Linked DNA regions of Alligator mississippiensis. The main gene of each other region encodes a partner of the protein of the gene in region 2 in a complex. Links are inferred from orthologs where the notes say so. Each region holds a gene or a part of one and is shown on either strand. Other genes may lie near its edges. The genes, in order: PDE6D and RHEB.

Region 1 (7,821 bases), on a different chromosome or scaffold from region 2:
AGAAGGGAAGGGACTGCAGGCGGGGGTGGGGGCAGTGTTGGGGAGGATGGGGCTGGGATCATGGGGCAGCGACAGGGCAGGGCTGGGGCCTGGGGCAAAGCCACAATCCACTCCCCACACGTCTCTGCCCACGGGACCAGCGCCCGTCACAGGGACCTGTGGGGAGTGGGTCGTGACTCTGCCCCAGGCCTCGGCCCTGTACTGTCACTGCCCCATGATCTCGGCTCCAGCCCCAGCCCTGGCTGCCTGTCCTGTTCTTGGATGCTGCTCCCCGCACACCTGCGGCCCCATCCCATCTACCCAGCTGAACACGCTCTGCCTGCAGCAGTCCTGGGCCAGGCCCCATGAAGACCTCACCTGCCCGCCTGCTCTGTCCAGCACCCACGGTGGTGCGTGCAGGGTGGATGGGCCGGGGTGCCTGGGCAATGGGGCCGGGTCTGGCAGTGGTGGCAGTGGTGACACTGGCAGCAACAGCCGGGCAGAATGAGCTGCCACCACATGAATGCCACCAACATCATTGATGTCACCAACATCTTCATCACTGATCTGGATGTGGAGGTGAAAAGCAAACTGACAAAGTTTGCCGATGACACTAAGCTGTGGGGAAGTGTGGCCACACATCAGGGTAGGCTGATGATCCAGGCAGACCTAGACACATTAATTAGGTGGGTGGACCAGAACCAGATGCTGTTCAGCACTGAGGAGTGTCAAGTGCTCCATCTGAGGAGGAAAAATCCACAAACTTACAGGCTCGGTGGTGCTACGGTACCTAACACCATGTCCAAAAGGGACCTGGGGTTCATAATTGACCATAAAATGAATACGAGCCACCGGTGTGATGCTACATTTGGCAGAACAAACAATACGCTGGCGTGCATCAACCGATGCATCTCAAACAAAACGAAGGAAGTTTTTCTTCTGCTCTACTCAGCATTGGCGAGGCTGCGGCTGGAGTAAGGCGTCCAGTTCTGGGAGCCATCCCTCAAGAAGGATGTGGAGAAGCTCGAGGGAGTCCAGAGATGAGCCACTCGTATGATTAGAGGCCCGAAGAGCAAGCCATACGAGAAAAGGCTGACAGATCTGGGACTGTTCAGCTTAGAAAAGAGAAGACTTCAGGGGGATTTGGTGGCAGCTTGCAAATATATCAGGGGAGAGCATCAGGGGCTAGATGAACAACTATTCACCAAAGTGCCTCAGAGGAAAACCAGGAGCAATGGACATAAACTCCTAGAAGAAGGTTTCAGACTGGATATAAGGAAAAACTTCATGGTTTGTGTGACCAGACTCTGGAATAGACTCCGGGTGGGGCTGGTGCAGGCACCTACCTACCGAAAGGCCTTTGAACTAGTATCCCACAATGTCCTCTTGAGAAAGTTGGAGGATTGTGGGCTTAACTCCGAGACAGTCAGGTGGGTGAGAAACTGGCCGCAGGACAGAACCCAGTCGTAGTGAACGGATCTGTGTCATCCTGGCAAGAAGTGGGCAGCGGCGTCCCGGCAGAGTCGGTGCTTGGTCCTGTACTTTTCAACGTCTTTATTAACAATTTGGCTGTGGGGGTGAAGAGCTCATGGGCCAAGTTCACGGATGACACCAAGTTACCGGGGAGTGTGGTCACGCTTGAAGATAGGCTACAGATACAGGTGGACCTAGACAGGCTAGCAAGTTGGGTGGACAGGAATCTGATGAAGTTCAACATCGAGAAATGTAAAGTGCTGCACCTCGGGACGAGCAACCCCCACACACCTACAGGCTTGGCAGCACCAAACTGACCAGCACCACGAATGAAAGGGACCTGGGGGTAATAACAGACCACAGTATGAATATAAGCCGGCGGTATAACGCTGTAGCCAGCAGAGCAAATAGTACTCTGGCGTGCATCAATCGATGCATCTCCGACAAAGCCAAGGCAATGATTCTTCCGCTCTACTCAGCACTGGTGAGACTACAGCTGGAGTACTGCGTCCAGTTCTGGGCATCGCACTTGAACAAGGACGTGGACAAGCTTGAGAAAGTCCAAAGAAGAGCCACCCGCATGATCAGAGTCTTAAAAGGCAAGGCATACGAGGAAAGGCTGAGGACGTGGGACTCTGCAGCCTGAGGAAAAGAGGGTGAGAGGAGACCTGGTAGCAGCTTACCGCTGCACTAGGGGAGTACATCAAGGGCTCGGTGAGCAACCGTGCACCAGGGCACCTGAGGGGAAAACCAGGAGTAATGGCCACAAACTCCTGGAAGATCGATTCAGGCTCAATGTTAGGAAAAACTTCTTCATAGTCAGGGTGTCCAGACTGGAATAAGCTCCCTCCAGAGGTGGTGCAATCACCGACCCTGGACATCTTCAAGAGGAGATGACGGTCACCTCGCTGGGGTCGCCTGACCCCCAGTTATCTTTCCTGCTTGGTGCAGGGGGCTGGACGCGATGATCTTCTGAGGTCCCTTCCGGCCCCTTACAATCTATGAATCTACCCTGGAGCTCTTCCAAAGGAGACTGGACGCACACTGTGCTGGGGTTATTTGACCCCCGCAGTCTATCCAGCCCACAGCAGGGGGGCTGGGCCCGATGGTCTCACGAGGTCCCTTCCAGCCCCAAACTTCTGTGAATCTGAATCAGCCACTGCACCGCCTCCTGGGCACGGCAGGACCAGCCACACACGCCACAGCCCAGGCTGCCCCCCACGCCTGGACTATGTGGGACAGAGGGACCCAGCACAGGCTGGACAGAATCACTTGGTGGACCAGATCCGAGCCGTATTTTGCCCACCCTGTTGTAAACCCCTATCACGACCCCCGCCGAGGCGTCTCTTTTTCTAAGTGGAACAGGCCTGGCCTCCTTAATCTCTCCCCCGATGGCAGCCCCTCCGTGCCACTGATCATCCGTGTCGCCCTTCCCTACTTCTTCTGCATCCTTTCTGGGGTGTGGGGACCAGAGCCGGGTGCAATATTTACGGTGTGGATGCCCCATGGATCTACAAAGGGGCATCACGATAGTCTCCGTTGTGTTCACGATTGCCTCAATATTCCTGAACGTGGTGTTTGCCTTCTTGACGGCAGCCGGGCCCTGACGCAATGTTTTTAGTAAACCATCCACAGTGACTCCCTGATCCCCATCCCGTGTCATGGAGCAGAGTCCGCTCTGCTGGTGGAGACTATCAGTGCCCCCAAACCCTGCTTCTTTACAGGAAGAAAACACCCCCTGCTTCCTGGGAGTTGAGGGAAAAGAAGGAGCTCCCAGAGGTGGAGAGGAGCCAGGGTCTCCAAGCCAGAGGAGCAGCCCCTTGTGAAGCACCTGGCTGCAGGGCTGCTCTCAGCAGAGGGAGACCGAATAAGGAGGGGTCCCAAGGGAGAGCTTCCTCCTCCCCTGGGAAGGGGCAGTGGGACCCTTCCCTGCACATGGCTTGCACACAGGGTCTGGCGTTGCCAGGTTTTAAATATGGAATTATTACATTGGAAACTCAAAATACACTGAAAAAGTATGCAAATAAGCTTTCTTCTTTGTTCTACATTGCTGTGTGACTCCAAGTGAGTGAGAGCTGGGCCATCAAAAATGAAGCATTTCTTTATTCCCAGGCAAAGCAAAACGCTGGCCGCAAACCCAAAAGTTAGCAAAGATGACCTGAGAGTGACTGGGGTTTTGCATATGCTGCGCCAAGGAGCTGCCTCCAAAATGACAGCTTTCTACCCCAAAGCTTGCAAAGAACAATTTTCCCAACTCTTGGAGTTGGTTTAATCAAAGATATCAGATTTACACGAAGACCCTTGTCTCCAAAATGCGGGGCCATTTGAACACTGTTACTATGACTGATTGCCAGGGATCCTGGTTTTCCTTGATTTCAAAAAATCCTCACTTTTCGGTTAAAAAAAAAAAAAAAAAGTAACCCCAAATCCACATTTTTCCATGATTTAAAGACCACTATGTCTATATCTCTATATTAGTGGCTTTTCATTTAATCACGGGAAAATGTGGATTTGGGGTTCCTTTTTTTTTTTAAACCGAAAAGTGAGGATGTTTTGAAATCAGGGAAAACGCGGATCCCTGCGGATCGCACATGGTGCGAGAGCGGGGCCCCGCACGTGTCTCGCGCACTCTCACGTGGCGCCCGCAGGGGGCGCCGCGCCGCGCCCTTTGCAGTCCCCAGCGGCCGCGCCCCTCGCACATATTTGTCCCGCTGCGGCTCCCATCCCCGCGGCGACGTCAGGTCGCCAAGAGGGAGGGGGCGTGTCTCCTCCACCGCCCCTACTTGCGCAGCCGCCCTTGCTGGCTGCCAGGCCGCGCCGCGCTCTCATTGGCTGTGGGCGCTGTCCGTCCGGCACCGGGGGGCGGAGCGGCGAACGCCCATTGGCTGGCCCCGCCCGGGCTGGGTCGTGGCGGCTGCGGGCTGTGAGGCGCCGCGGTCCGCGCCCGAGCCCGCACGACCCGACCCGACCCGTCCTGTCTTGTCCTGTCCTGTCCTGCGCCCGGGGCGGCGCCAGCGCCGCGGGACCATGTCGGCCAAGGACGAGCGGGCCAAGGAGATCCTGAGGGGCTTCAAGCTGTATCCGCCGGGCAGGGTGGGGGCTCCGCGTTGCCATGGGGACCGCGCGGGGGGGGGCGGAGCCCACTTCGTGGGGGGAGGGGCTGCTCGGGCCCGTCCAGCGGGATCCTCAGTCCGTCCAGGGGGTGCTGAGTCTCTAATGGGGGTCTGCTTGTGTCCACCCAGGGGGCGGAGGGCCTGTTCTGGGGGTCCCAGGTTCATGCAGGGGGGTCCTGAGCCCATCCAGGGAGGCCATGAGCACATCCAGGGGGCGGAGGATCTGTTCTGGGGGTCCTGGGTTCATCCAGGAGGGTCCTGAGCCCAGCCAGGGGGTGGAGGGCCTGTTCTGGGGGTCCTGGGTCCATCCAGGGGGGTCCTGAGCCCAGCCAGGGGGTGGAGGGCCTGTTCTGGGGGTCCTGGGTCCATCCAGGGGGGTCCTGAGCCCAGCCAGGGGGTGGAGGGCCTGTTCTGGGGGTCCTGGGTCCATCCAGGGGGGTCCTGAGCCCAGCCAGGGGGTGGAGGGCCTGTTCTGGGGGTCCTGGGTCCATCCAGGGGGGTCCTGAGCCCAGCCAGGGGGTGGAGGGCCTGTTCTGGGGGTCCTGGGTCCATCCAGGGGGGTCCTGAGCCCAGCCAGGGGGTGGAGGGCCTGTTCTGGGGGTCCTGGGTCCATCCAGGGGGGTCCTGAGCCCAGCCAGGGGGTGGAGGGCCTGTTCTGGGGGTCCTGGGTCCATCCAGGGGGGTCCTGAGCCCAGCCAGGGGGTGGAGGGCCTGTTCTGGGGGGTCCCAGGTCCATCCAGTGTGGTCTTGAGTTGATCCTGTGAGTCTAACTGGAGGGTGCCGAGTCTGGCGTGGGGGGAGGGGGGGGTCCTGAGTCTGTTCAGGGGGTCTTATACTTGCCCCTCCCCCACATAGACTCATGGCCCCCCTGGATGGACTCATGGCGGGGGCATGAGTCCATTTGGGAAGCTACGAGTGTTTTTTTGGGGGGAGGGGCGGTCTCAGGTCCATCCAGATCTGGAGTCAATGCAGGGGCCGGCAAGCCCAATGCGGGGGGGGGGGTGAGTCTGATGTGGGGGTCTTGAGTCCATCCAAGGGGGGGCATGAGTCTTTCTCTGGGGGTCTCGAGTCTATCCAGAGGCTGTGAGTCCATCTGTGGGGCCGTGAGTCTGTTCTGGGTACCTTAGACTTGTGGCCCCTGCTGTAGCCTGATGGCCCCCCCTGGGTGGAGGCATCTGGGGTGGGGGTATGAGTCCATCTGGGAGGCCACGAGTCTGTCCAGGGACTGCAGGTGTGTGGGGGGGAGGTTCGAGTCCAGGCAAGGGACCACTGCTCTGTGGCAGGCCGAGAGCTGCTGGCCAAGGGCTTCGCTCCCTCCCCGAGGTTGCAGCAAAGGTTGAGCCCGAGAGCAGGAGGAGGAGCGCAAGCATGACGGGCTCCGGGGAAGGAGGTGTGCATGCCGGTTTTGTGGCTATGCTTAGCACAGGGGCAGGAGGCAGAGCTGGGTGCTGGCTGCACCGCTCCTCGCTGACAGCGTGGGGGAAGGGGCCAGACACGGGCGATGTAATTCTGTGGTATTTTTGGATGCCGTTTTTACCTAACGGGACTTCCCCTGCAGTGAGATGCATATAATCTCTTTACCAGAGATACATATAATCTCTTTACCAGCTGCATCAGGATCCGAGCTTCTAGATGTTGGATTTAGCCAAATGGCTACCATCAAATGGCAAGCAGATGCTTCTCTCTGTAAGATCATGAAGTCCTTTCTCTCTCCTCTCACCCCCCAAACCATCTGGTTTTGGGATAGTTTCCTTTTTTGTTTCCAAAGTAGCAGCAGCAAATCTTCCTGAAGCATGCAGTATGATATTTCAGTTGTCAGAAAGATGCTTAGACCAAAGGCCATTAGAGGCTAGTCAGAAGTTCAAGCTAACTTGCCGGCAGCAGCAAAGACAAAACAAAAAGTAGCTTTACGCTGGATTTCAGGAAAGACTTCTTGACTGTCAGAGCAGGGAGGCAGAGGAATAGACGCCAGGGAAGGTGCAGACTCCCTCGCTGGAGGGGTTCAAGGAGAGGTTGGACAGCCACTGGCTGGGGATGATCTGGTGTAGCGATGCCTATGCTGTACCGTGGGGATTTCTTTGCTTTTGGGCTTTTCTGGCTGACCCATGGGTCGGAAAGGAATCTTTTCCCCTCCTGCTGGTGGGGAGTCTAACATCACTATATTTGGTGTCAGGAAGCAATTTTACCCCCTGGTTAGGTTGGTCCAGACAGTTGGAGTTTTGCCTTCTATAGTAGGAGGTGTGTCCTCTACTTGGGATCTCTTGAGCAATTAATGATCTTTGCTGCAGCAGGATGTTGGCTTTACTTGTGGCAGGTTAGGGCATTACGTCTTGTGTTGCATCAGGATTGACTGTGGATTTATATGGGATGGCTTGAACAGGGCTGATCTTGCCTCAGGCAGGGGTTGGACTAGATGTGACCTGGAGCCGTCTTCCAGCCCCAGGGCTCTAGGAATCTGTTAAGTAATCTCCAAGGACTCTAAGAAATGAACAAGCACAAAATAAAATTGATATTCTTGTTGGGTCAGTATGTATAGGGACCGCATGTATCTTCTGCTTTCTAGGGAACTTGGCCACAGCTATATTTAAGTGTTGCATGAATTAAGCCCTGTGTATAGTTAAGATTACTCAAAGTAAAGTGTTTTGTCACCTTTCAAGGCTGGGGGGAAGAGGAGGTCGTGCAGGTGTAACTTTCCACTATTTTCAGCAGACATAGTTAGTATTTGTCCTACCTGAACCTACCTAAGTGGGCCAGCTTAATAACCTAAATGTTACTGCTTAGTACAGCCATGTGGGAGCAGTCCAAGTTCAGTCTTTGTTCACTTCCTGGAATGACTGGGCCCTGACCCACTCTGAAACAATACATTCAACCCCCACGGGAGGAGACAAAGTCAAGTATTAGATTGGCTGATCCAAAAAAGTCAGTACTGAAGTACTTAGTAGAGTATTATTTTTAATTTTATTAAATTCTTGAGGTAGCAGGGATTTCATGCAAAGATTTTGCAAGTCATTTTTTCAAATAGAAGTTTAGTTAAGAACTGCTTTAACTGAGGAAGGGTCCTGATGAGCTGCCCATAAATCCAAAGTCTGCATGGAGGAATTCGCCTACAAAGGAAACCATTGCAGCATTGCCCTTTGCATAGGTGTGAAACATTATGTTTGAAGAAACACTTTAACTTTCTACTCATTCTGGTATTTGTGCTAATTTGTCCTCTTTAATAGGAGGGAAAAGGGGAGCAAGTCCCTAAAAGATGGGA
Region 2 (8,401 bases):
ATAAAGTGCCTTTCTGAGCGGTTAAAAAACCATATAACTGAAAAAAGAACACTTGTACAGTGACTTGATAAAAGCCTCTTGCAATAGGCACAGCCGCTCCTACTCCCTCAACTCTATTAATGCAGCGTCACAAAGGTCATATTTGAGTGATGCCATGTGCTATAAGAGGCAGTATTTGAGCAAGCTGGGCATCTGGTTGCAGACTACATGAAGGTGGAAACAAAGACATTATGCACCCTTGCCTAAACAGTTTTATTAAGCATGGGGAACAAGACATTTATTTAGTAGTGCCATGGAAGTTAACACCATTTCTACTGCAGCAAATCCTGTGTTCTGCAGTATTTACCAATACAATATAACATAATCCTACAAGACAGTTAAGGGGCTGTTTGCTATTTCTGGGACTATAATTAGGCCTTTTGTGCTCCTTTGTAACTTTTGTTGGTTTTGCAGGAACTCCTCCAACCAACAATCAAAAACTAACTGGACTGGAAACTAAAGCTTTGACATCAGGGTAAAGCAGATTAACTGTGTATATCACATGCATTAGCACCCAACAGTGAAAGCAATTATAGAAGATTCAAGAATTTAACAAATTTAGTGACACTAACCTTATGAATCATTTGAGTCTTGCAAAAGAATCAGTTGACATGTGGGGCTGGGGGAGGGAGTTAAACCCTCAAAATTTTGTCTATCCCAGGACAGCGGATAGGCCATACTACAATTTTACTTTTGCTGTGTAAGTGCCAGTTTCTATAGGTTGTCTCAAATTTACCTTCAGAAGACAAATAAAGTACAGCCCAAGTTTTTCACCCTGCTGATGGAACTCCACAGTCCATGGGGCTCTTGCACTAGACCACATTTACCACGTGCCCCATTAAACACACGGCATGGGAAAGATTGTGAAAGAAGCTGGCAGGTACCCTTTTGAACCAGAAGCTGAAAGCTTGTGTTACATCATTGAACAACACACTGCAAGGTAAAGGGCACAGGGATTTTCTGCCCACCAGCTGCTCTTTAGTAACTGTTCATTTGTACACAGTTTCCCCACAGCAGGTGAAAAGTAAATTGCAGTATCTTAGCTTTGACGCCAAGAGAGCTGCCAAGAGTAGTTAACGTAGCAAGTTCCCATCCCCTTTACCTTGTAGCTCATCTACACACATTGTCAACCAATACTTGACAGGCAGATATCTCATAAAAAACCCCAGTGATTAAGAAAGTAGGTTTTGATAGTGGTAGAAAGAGAGAGGCTATAGCCAACTAGGGGGGAATGGGTGTGTAAGAATATCAGCTCCAAAATGGTATGCCACTGCATGACCTTCCTAGAGATGAACAACTGTAGCCTCCGTAAGCTTCCTATGTACAAATTCAGCCATACTCATTACTTCCAGTAAGTCACTGCAGTTTGCACAAGCCAAGCTTTGACATACAGAGACTACCTTTAGGAGAGAGTCATATCTCAAGTGCATTTCAAGTCAAGTTACAGATCAAGAGCTCAGAGATTTTGCATGTCATGATCTCTGTATACAAGAGTACTTGGGTAACCACTTAAAAGTGATCTCACACACTCTGCTGGTGTTCTCCCCAAATAAAGGCAGAACTGAATTGGGTACATCTGAGAATTTTGAAGAGGTTTCAGATCAGTTGCCCAAATGCAGTACTTCCTAGGTTACACCGTATATTTGGAGACAGCACTTGAAATGTCCAACGCCATATAAAGCAGACCACTCTACTGCTTTACCAAGTAGCATGCTGAAGTAGTACTCTTGAAGTCATTCAAGATTCATGTTTCCAGGCTCCATGCCACCGAAGTGTAGGCTGATAAAAACACAAGCGGTTTTAGAACCGAAAATTATTCAAGTGTAGGAAGTCATAAATGACACTGATCAGATAAAAGGGATCTGTAACAAGATTTGGCTATTTTTCCAGCCAAAAGAGCTTTTACAAAAGTGGGAGGACAGAAAGAACATTCAGTTTTGTGTTAAAAACACACCAGACCTCCCCCTTCCCCCCCCCCCCACCAAACTAAAAATTTTGCTCACAACATTCTGTACTGTTAGTATGACCATTTAGTAAAGAAATACCATGTACAAAATAGTTAGGTTAAAACTTTCTCCAGGACTAGGAGATGCTGCAGTACTACTCTCCGTTCCCTAAGAACTGCAAAGGGAAAGGGAAACAACACATTTGGTTCTTTGAACGTATTCCCCAAGTTCTCCCAAAGCCTTGCAAAGTGGGACAAGCCCAGCAACAGCAGACTACTGCTCAGTGCTCTCAAGAACAAAAAAAACCCCTGGCAAGTCCTCCTAATGCTCCACAGGCAAATTCTACAGTTTTGTACTTGCGTGCCACCATGGACCACAATATATTTACACACAGCCAGGACTCTCGTAAGTGGCTCCTAGGTCATTACATCTGGCACCCTTTTTTCAAAGGCTTCAGTCCCTGTTAAGGAAGGCTTGAGGCTCCAAGAATATTACTGCTTTACAGAGTTAGCTTGAACTCTTTACTGACAAGATTTTCTCCAGGTGTTTAGACTGCATTCTTCCTAGGATTAGGATACCGAGTCTTGTTAACGAACAGAGACAACAGCTTTGTTTCTGTACTTCTGTTGAGTTCTCCTAGGTCTCTCAGATAAACTCCAGTGAGAATGTCACTGGTCCAACCAACAAAGACAGTACCAATGAGGTACTAGGAATACTTTGCGGGACTGGAAGGACACTTAATGCATGAACCCCAATTAGTAACTCTTAAATTCCTCTAATTACAGGCAGTCCTCAGACTTATGACACGATTGGTTCCTGAAAACTGTGTCTTAAGTCGAAACGCTGTAACTCAGAACCAATTTTCTCATAAGAAACAATGTTATAAATGGGGGATTGGTTCCTGAACCAAGGCCCAATACCCTATTTTCACCAAAAATACCCAAACATTTTGTACTCCATCAATTATAGATGAGTAATACAGCTACATTAATGTATTTATATTGTAAATAGCAATCATATTGATTTGGAAGGACTTCTTTGAGGTGACTTTGCTGGACTTTTTGAAGAGCTCTTGGTTGGACTTTTTGAAGGGTTCTTGGCTGGAGTCTTCTCGAGTCTTGGCTGTAGGGTTTTCTGGAGTCTTGCCTGCTTCCTTAAAGAAAGTGTCCAAGGAAGTTTGGAGAGATGTTCTCCAGGGAGATGGGCAATGCAGCGAACTTGTTTGCTGGCATGGCGTTGCATTGGATCAAGTGTTGTAAAGTCGAAACTGACGTCATAAAGTTGAAACAGGGTGTCAATTTATAAACGTAGCTCAAAACGTTGTAAGTCGAGGACTGCCTGTATCATCAGGGGTGCACCAATAGAAATATTTTGGGCCAATACCAATGGCTGATTTGGCCAATACTTACCAGGCGAATGCTGTTGTCCACACTGCCAGGCTGTGCTCCTGGCTGCCTGGCATGCTGAGCTGCAGCTGCACACATGGACAGGGCATTTATCTGCAACATTAATCAACCACATCAGCCAAAAAAAGCTGATTGCTGATGTCAATTTTTCTTAAATCAGTGATAATACAACATGGGACCAATATATCGGTGTACCTCTAACTGTCATTGAGATTCTGACTGGCTACTGATGGGAGTAACACTAAGCTTCACCCACAATTTGTGTAGTGGATAACTGTCTTGTTCAAGGTAAGGCAAGAATCTTCTGTGTGGTAGTTTTTATTGGACTAACTACATAGTTGGAAAGACAAAGACAAGCTTTTCAGCAGGGCTGTGTGAAGCTTCGGTAGCTGATTCGATTCAGAGGAGATTCGGCCCAATACAGGGACCGAATCTCCGAAACCGAATTGAATCAGGAGATCGAGTAAAAACTCCAAATCGATTCGGAAGAGATTTGGCCGATTCAGCCATAGACGCAACAGGCAGCTAGCTGACAGCTGCCTCCAGCTGGTAAATCTGTTGGGGTTGGGAGGGTGGGAAGGGAAGGGATGTGGGGGGAGGGAGGGATTGGGGCTGGGACAAGCGGCCCAGCCGTGGCAGAGGGGCGTGTTACTCGGGAAGGGAGGCTGGGGGGCCGAGGTGGGGGGGGGCCACAGCTCACTCCAGACATAAGGGGACAAGCAGCAGCAGGGCACAGCCCTTGCTCCTAGCATTGCTGCACCCTCTTCCTGTGCCAGCTGGCAAGCTGCAGCAGGGCAGAGCCCCCACTCCCAGCACTGATGTGGGCGCAGCAGCATTGGGAGCGGGGACTATGCCCTGCTGCCACCTGGAGCGAACCGTGCCTGCATCATGCCCTTCCCACGCCGGCCGGGCAAGCAGCAGCAGGGCATAGGACCCACGGCTCCCCCCACAAGGGCAGAGGCAGGCACAGCCAAGGAGCAGCGAGAGAAGCCCCCATGGCCTCTCCTCGGCAGAACTGAATCACCGAATTTCTTCAGATCAGCACCAAATCTTCCAAAGCTGATTCAGCTGAATTCATTCAGGACACTGATCCAAATTTCCAAATCAAATCGCTGTCCTCCAAATCGGTCGAATCCAAATCAAATACTTCCCTACTGACACAGGCCTACTTTTCAGTAGGAGTGCATTGATAGAGATTTTCGAGGCCAATACCAACAGCTGATATTTAAGGAGGCATATTGGCCAATACCAATCTGATTTCCAATACAGCTGCCTCCAGCTGGTAAGTCCGGTGTGGTGGAAGGGAAGGGGGGAGGGCACAACACCCCCCCCCCATGGTGAGGGAGGGGGCAGGGACAGGGCAGGCACTGCCCAGGCAGGGTTGGGGGGAAGCGCGAAGCTGCGGCTCATGGCGGAGGAGGGGGCGCGCGCGGCGGGAGGTGGCTCTTGCTGCTGCTTGCACCCCAGGAAGGCATGGGGGAGGGGGAGAGGGGAGTGCAGCCCGACCTGCACATGGCAGGTTGGGCTGCAGCCAGGGCTGTGTGGGGCTCTTCTCAGCAGGTCCTGGGCTCAGAGCAGGGACTAATGATGCTGGAAGGATGCTGCATCCACCCCAAATTTCGCCGCTGCTCTGCTCCCAGTGCCGTTGCTGTCAGCTGCCCAGCGCAGCCCCAGCTTGTGGGTGGAGGCAGGGCATTGAACCGGGGCTGCCCCAGACAGCTGGCAGTGGAGCTGCTGCAAAACGTGGGGTAGATGCAGCATCCTCCCAGCACCATTGGTGCCTGCTCCAAACCCAGCCCCCGCCAAGAAAAGCCCTGGCTGCAGCCTGCCCCACCCTGCCCCATGCACATCTGGGGGGGTACACCCCTGCCCTGTGCCCTCCCACACTGCAAGAAGCAGTGGGAACCGCTTCCCCTCCCCCCCATAAGCTGTCACTCCAGCCCCAACCCCCACCTGGGCAGCACTTGCCCCCTCCCTCACCACAGGGTGTACTCATTTGCCCCCCTGGCCCCCTTTTCCCTCCCCTTCCACTACACCAGAGTTACCAGCTGGAGGCAGCTCTCCATGCTGCCAGCTGTGCTCCTCGCTGCCCGAGCCCTGCACTGCAACTGCGCACAGCACGGGTATTTATCAGCCAAATTATCAGCCCTATTGAGCCAATATCTGATACAGCCAGTTTTCTTCATACTGGTACCAATATGATATCAGACCGACGTATTGGTACACCTATACTTTCCAAGGATCACGGTACCCTTCCTCAGGCTAACTCAGACTATTGCCTAAAAAAAAGGGAGACAAAATAAAGCAGCTAGCCTTCAGGAAGAAGAAGAATATGAATTGGACTATTCCTGCTACTCCGTTCAATTTCAAACCGGTAGAGGTATATCTATGAGAACAGCTACAAATCTCCACTATGATAGAACTGTGGATGGATTTCAAAAAATTTAACATTTAAACATGGAACGCCTATTTGCAGTTGTTAGCATCTACTTTTGAGTACCACTGGCTTAGGAGTTAAAGAGGTTGCCTACTTTTTTAGACCCAAGGCACCCCTCTCTGAAGATGCCAGCTCTTACCTTTCACTTGTTTTTTTACAACAGAAAAAAAGGACAATTCTTCTGTTGCAAAGAACTCATGAAGATGACAAAAGGTCAGAATGGGTTTAATACAAGGGATTCCTTTTGGAAATCTCTGGGTTTATCACATGAACCATGTCTGCATACCTAACAACAATGCTAATCTTGTGCATCACCCTTGAAAGGATCAAGGCACCCCAGGATGCTAAGCAGCATCCTAAGCACTGTACCTTGCGGAAACTGAATTATATTCCATAAAGTCATCCATAAAGCCATTTCAGCACAACTGATTGGACTTCAGACAATTAAATCATGACTCACATAGCTAGTTTGCTGTATGAGTGTACATTTAACCAATGATTTCTCTACTCCAGTCTGAAGAATAATATTTTACAACTGAAGACACCAACTCTTCAACAAGGGAAGTGATGAGGGATCATCTCAGAGCATGTGGTTAGGTAGAACCAACACAACCCTGCATTAGTTAAACCCTTGTTCCCTAGCTAGTACAGGAGACCCTCGCCATTCGCAAGGGATACGTTCTCGTATCCCCCACGAACGGCGAAATCCGCGAATAAGGCACTGTGTTCATGAATGCTGTCTGTGTTTATGAAAGCAGTGCCCCGGCAGCTGGGGGGGAGGGGGGGGAGGGCATGGCTGCGCTGGCAACAGTGGGAGCACAGTGGCAGCAAGCGCAGAGCTCCAGAGGAGCTCCCTTAAGTATATTTAAGATATGGGTTTGGCATTCACAAGTATTTGGAACTGTGAATGCCAAACCCATAAATGACAAAGGGAAATCATAGGATGGCGTTTGGCTGTGCTGGTGATGGCGGGAGCATGGCGGCGGTGGCAGGAGTGGCGGCAGCAGTGGCAAAAGCGCAGAGTGTATTTAAAATGAGGGTTCAGCATTCGTGAATATCTGAAACCACGAATGCTGAACCAGCGAATAGCGAGGGCAATCATAGGATGGCATTTTGGAAGCGCCAAGAGATTCTCCACAAGGTGCTGAAGGGCTTCAATGCTATGCAACTGTACTGTTAACAACTCCCATTAGGCTACTGAGAAAAATATTACATTGTTACATGTACCATGTAGGACCGACTAGGGCCATGTACATGCCTGACATTTCTACTGGGAGAATTGCTGCTCTCCCCATAGAAATTAGGTGTGTACAAGTGTTTGTTCAATTCCTCACTCCAGGAGAAATATCATCCAGGTTGATAGTTGGGGCCTGCATGTAATGAATGCTTGTATGCTGCCAGGCTCCTTCCAACTGATCACAGAAGAGTTCAGTAGCAACTTCCCCTTTGCCTTTCCCAGATGGGGGGGCAACAGTCTTGGGAATGTGTGCACATGTGGGGGGCAACATTTCCCCACAGCTCTACTCCTTATCAAAGATACAAACACCCTCAAGTTTGAATCAGTTTCCTTATAACAGTTGTAACGCAATATCAGGAGGAAGAAAAATGTGATGAACTTCCCTCCTTACAAGGTCTGCAGTGAAAAACCTCACTTGATATACTGAGACAAAAGACTTGTAGTAGTCACTCCTACAGTTAGTCAGATGTAATCATGCTCTTGCACAACTATGATGCATACCAACCAGGTGAGAACTGAATTTCATTAAGAGAGAACACCAGCCTTCAGAGGTTTGCCAAGCCCATATATGGTCCTTGTACATCCCAAATGCCTTAGGGCTTTGGACACAGCTTTTGTGGGAGGGATAAGAACTAAGTGGCAAGGTGAACAGCAGCTCAGCTCTGCACGAAACCACACTAGAACCCAGATACTTCCCACAGTTGGGGTCCTTATACCTCCTTGCAAAGGTGAGGTTTTGCGAAATAACCAGAGGTAGCCACAGCCACAAACAGCTGCAAAGGACTGCAGTAGTGCTCCAGCTGAGCTGCAAAGTGGCCCCTTTGAAGCACAGGCCAATCGTTCAGATTTATTAAGTTCTTCTCTTACTACCTTTCTCAGCAACAATTTTCCTAGTACAGGTCTGTATGATTGAAACTGCTAGATCTTCTCCAAGTCTGTCTGTGATGCAGGGTCTTGATAAGAGCAAGAGTATGTCAAATCAAGTAAGTTCAAGAGCATGTCAAATCTGCAGTGTTTAAGTTAACATACTACGGTTTCCCTTCCCTCCCCTCCTGTTACTCAAAGACACCTTACTACTGCAAGCCAGAGGATCTCTAGGAGGCCAAGACTGAAGAGGAAGAAGCGAGAAGAGATTCCCCCCCTTCTGGCAGCCTCAGATTTATTTCTGAGCTCCCAAACATTGTTTAGGCCCTGGGAGCAAGAACTCCCAAAAAAACACCTTTACTAAAAACTTTTCAACTGCCCTCTTCACACCAGGCCATGTCAAGGTCTCTGGAACAGGGAAAGAGCTGGACTACAAAATACGAGTACAGGCCTCGAGCAACCATGCACTAGC

Evidence for each region.
Region 1: the proteins of RHEB (region 2) and PDE6D are in contact, whole or in part, in a crystal structure (PDB 3T5G), measured with the Homo sapiens proteins. The link is inferred for Alligator mississippiensis from reciprocal best matches to the Homo sapiens genes RHEB and PDE6D. Residues at the interface, in NP_005605.1 of Homo sapiens: Pro2, Gln3, Ser4, Gln57, Asp77, Gln176, Gly177, Lys178, Ser179, Ser180, Cys181; in NP_002592.1 of Homo sapiens: Ile53, Leu54, Cys56, Val59, Val80, Gln85, Cys86, Leu87, Glu88, Glu89, Trp90, Ile109, Glu110, Ala111, Ala112, Pro113, Gln116, Met117, Met118, Leu123, Tyr149.

Annotation. Positions count from the first base shown.
Region 1 is NC_081830.1:84,860,503-84,868,323, forward strand, and holds the start of PDE6D (retinal rod rhodopsin-sensitive cGMP 3',5'-cyclic phosphodiesterase subunit delta), read left to right. Parts: upstream 1-4,346; 5' UTR 4,347-4,479; coding exon 4,480-4,529; intron 4,530-7,821. UniProt on the Homo sapiens protein: Promotes the release of prenylated target proteins from cellular membranes. Modulates the activity of prenylated or palmitoylated Ras family members by regulating their subcellular location.
Region 2 is NC_081828.1:207,412,037-207,420,437, reverse strand, and holds the start of RHEB (GTP-binding protein Rheb), read right to left. Parts: upstream 3,522-8,401; 5' UTR 3,507-3,521; coding exon 3,395-3,506; intron 1,767-3,394; exon of another isoform or gene 1,752-1,766; coding exon of another isoform or gene 1,742-1,751; intron 1-1,741. UniProt on the Homo sapiens protein: Small GTPase that acts as an allosteric activator of the canonical mTORC1 complex, an evolutionarily conserved central nutrient sensor that stimulates anabolic reactions and macromolecule biosynthesis to promote cellular biomass generation and growth.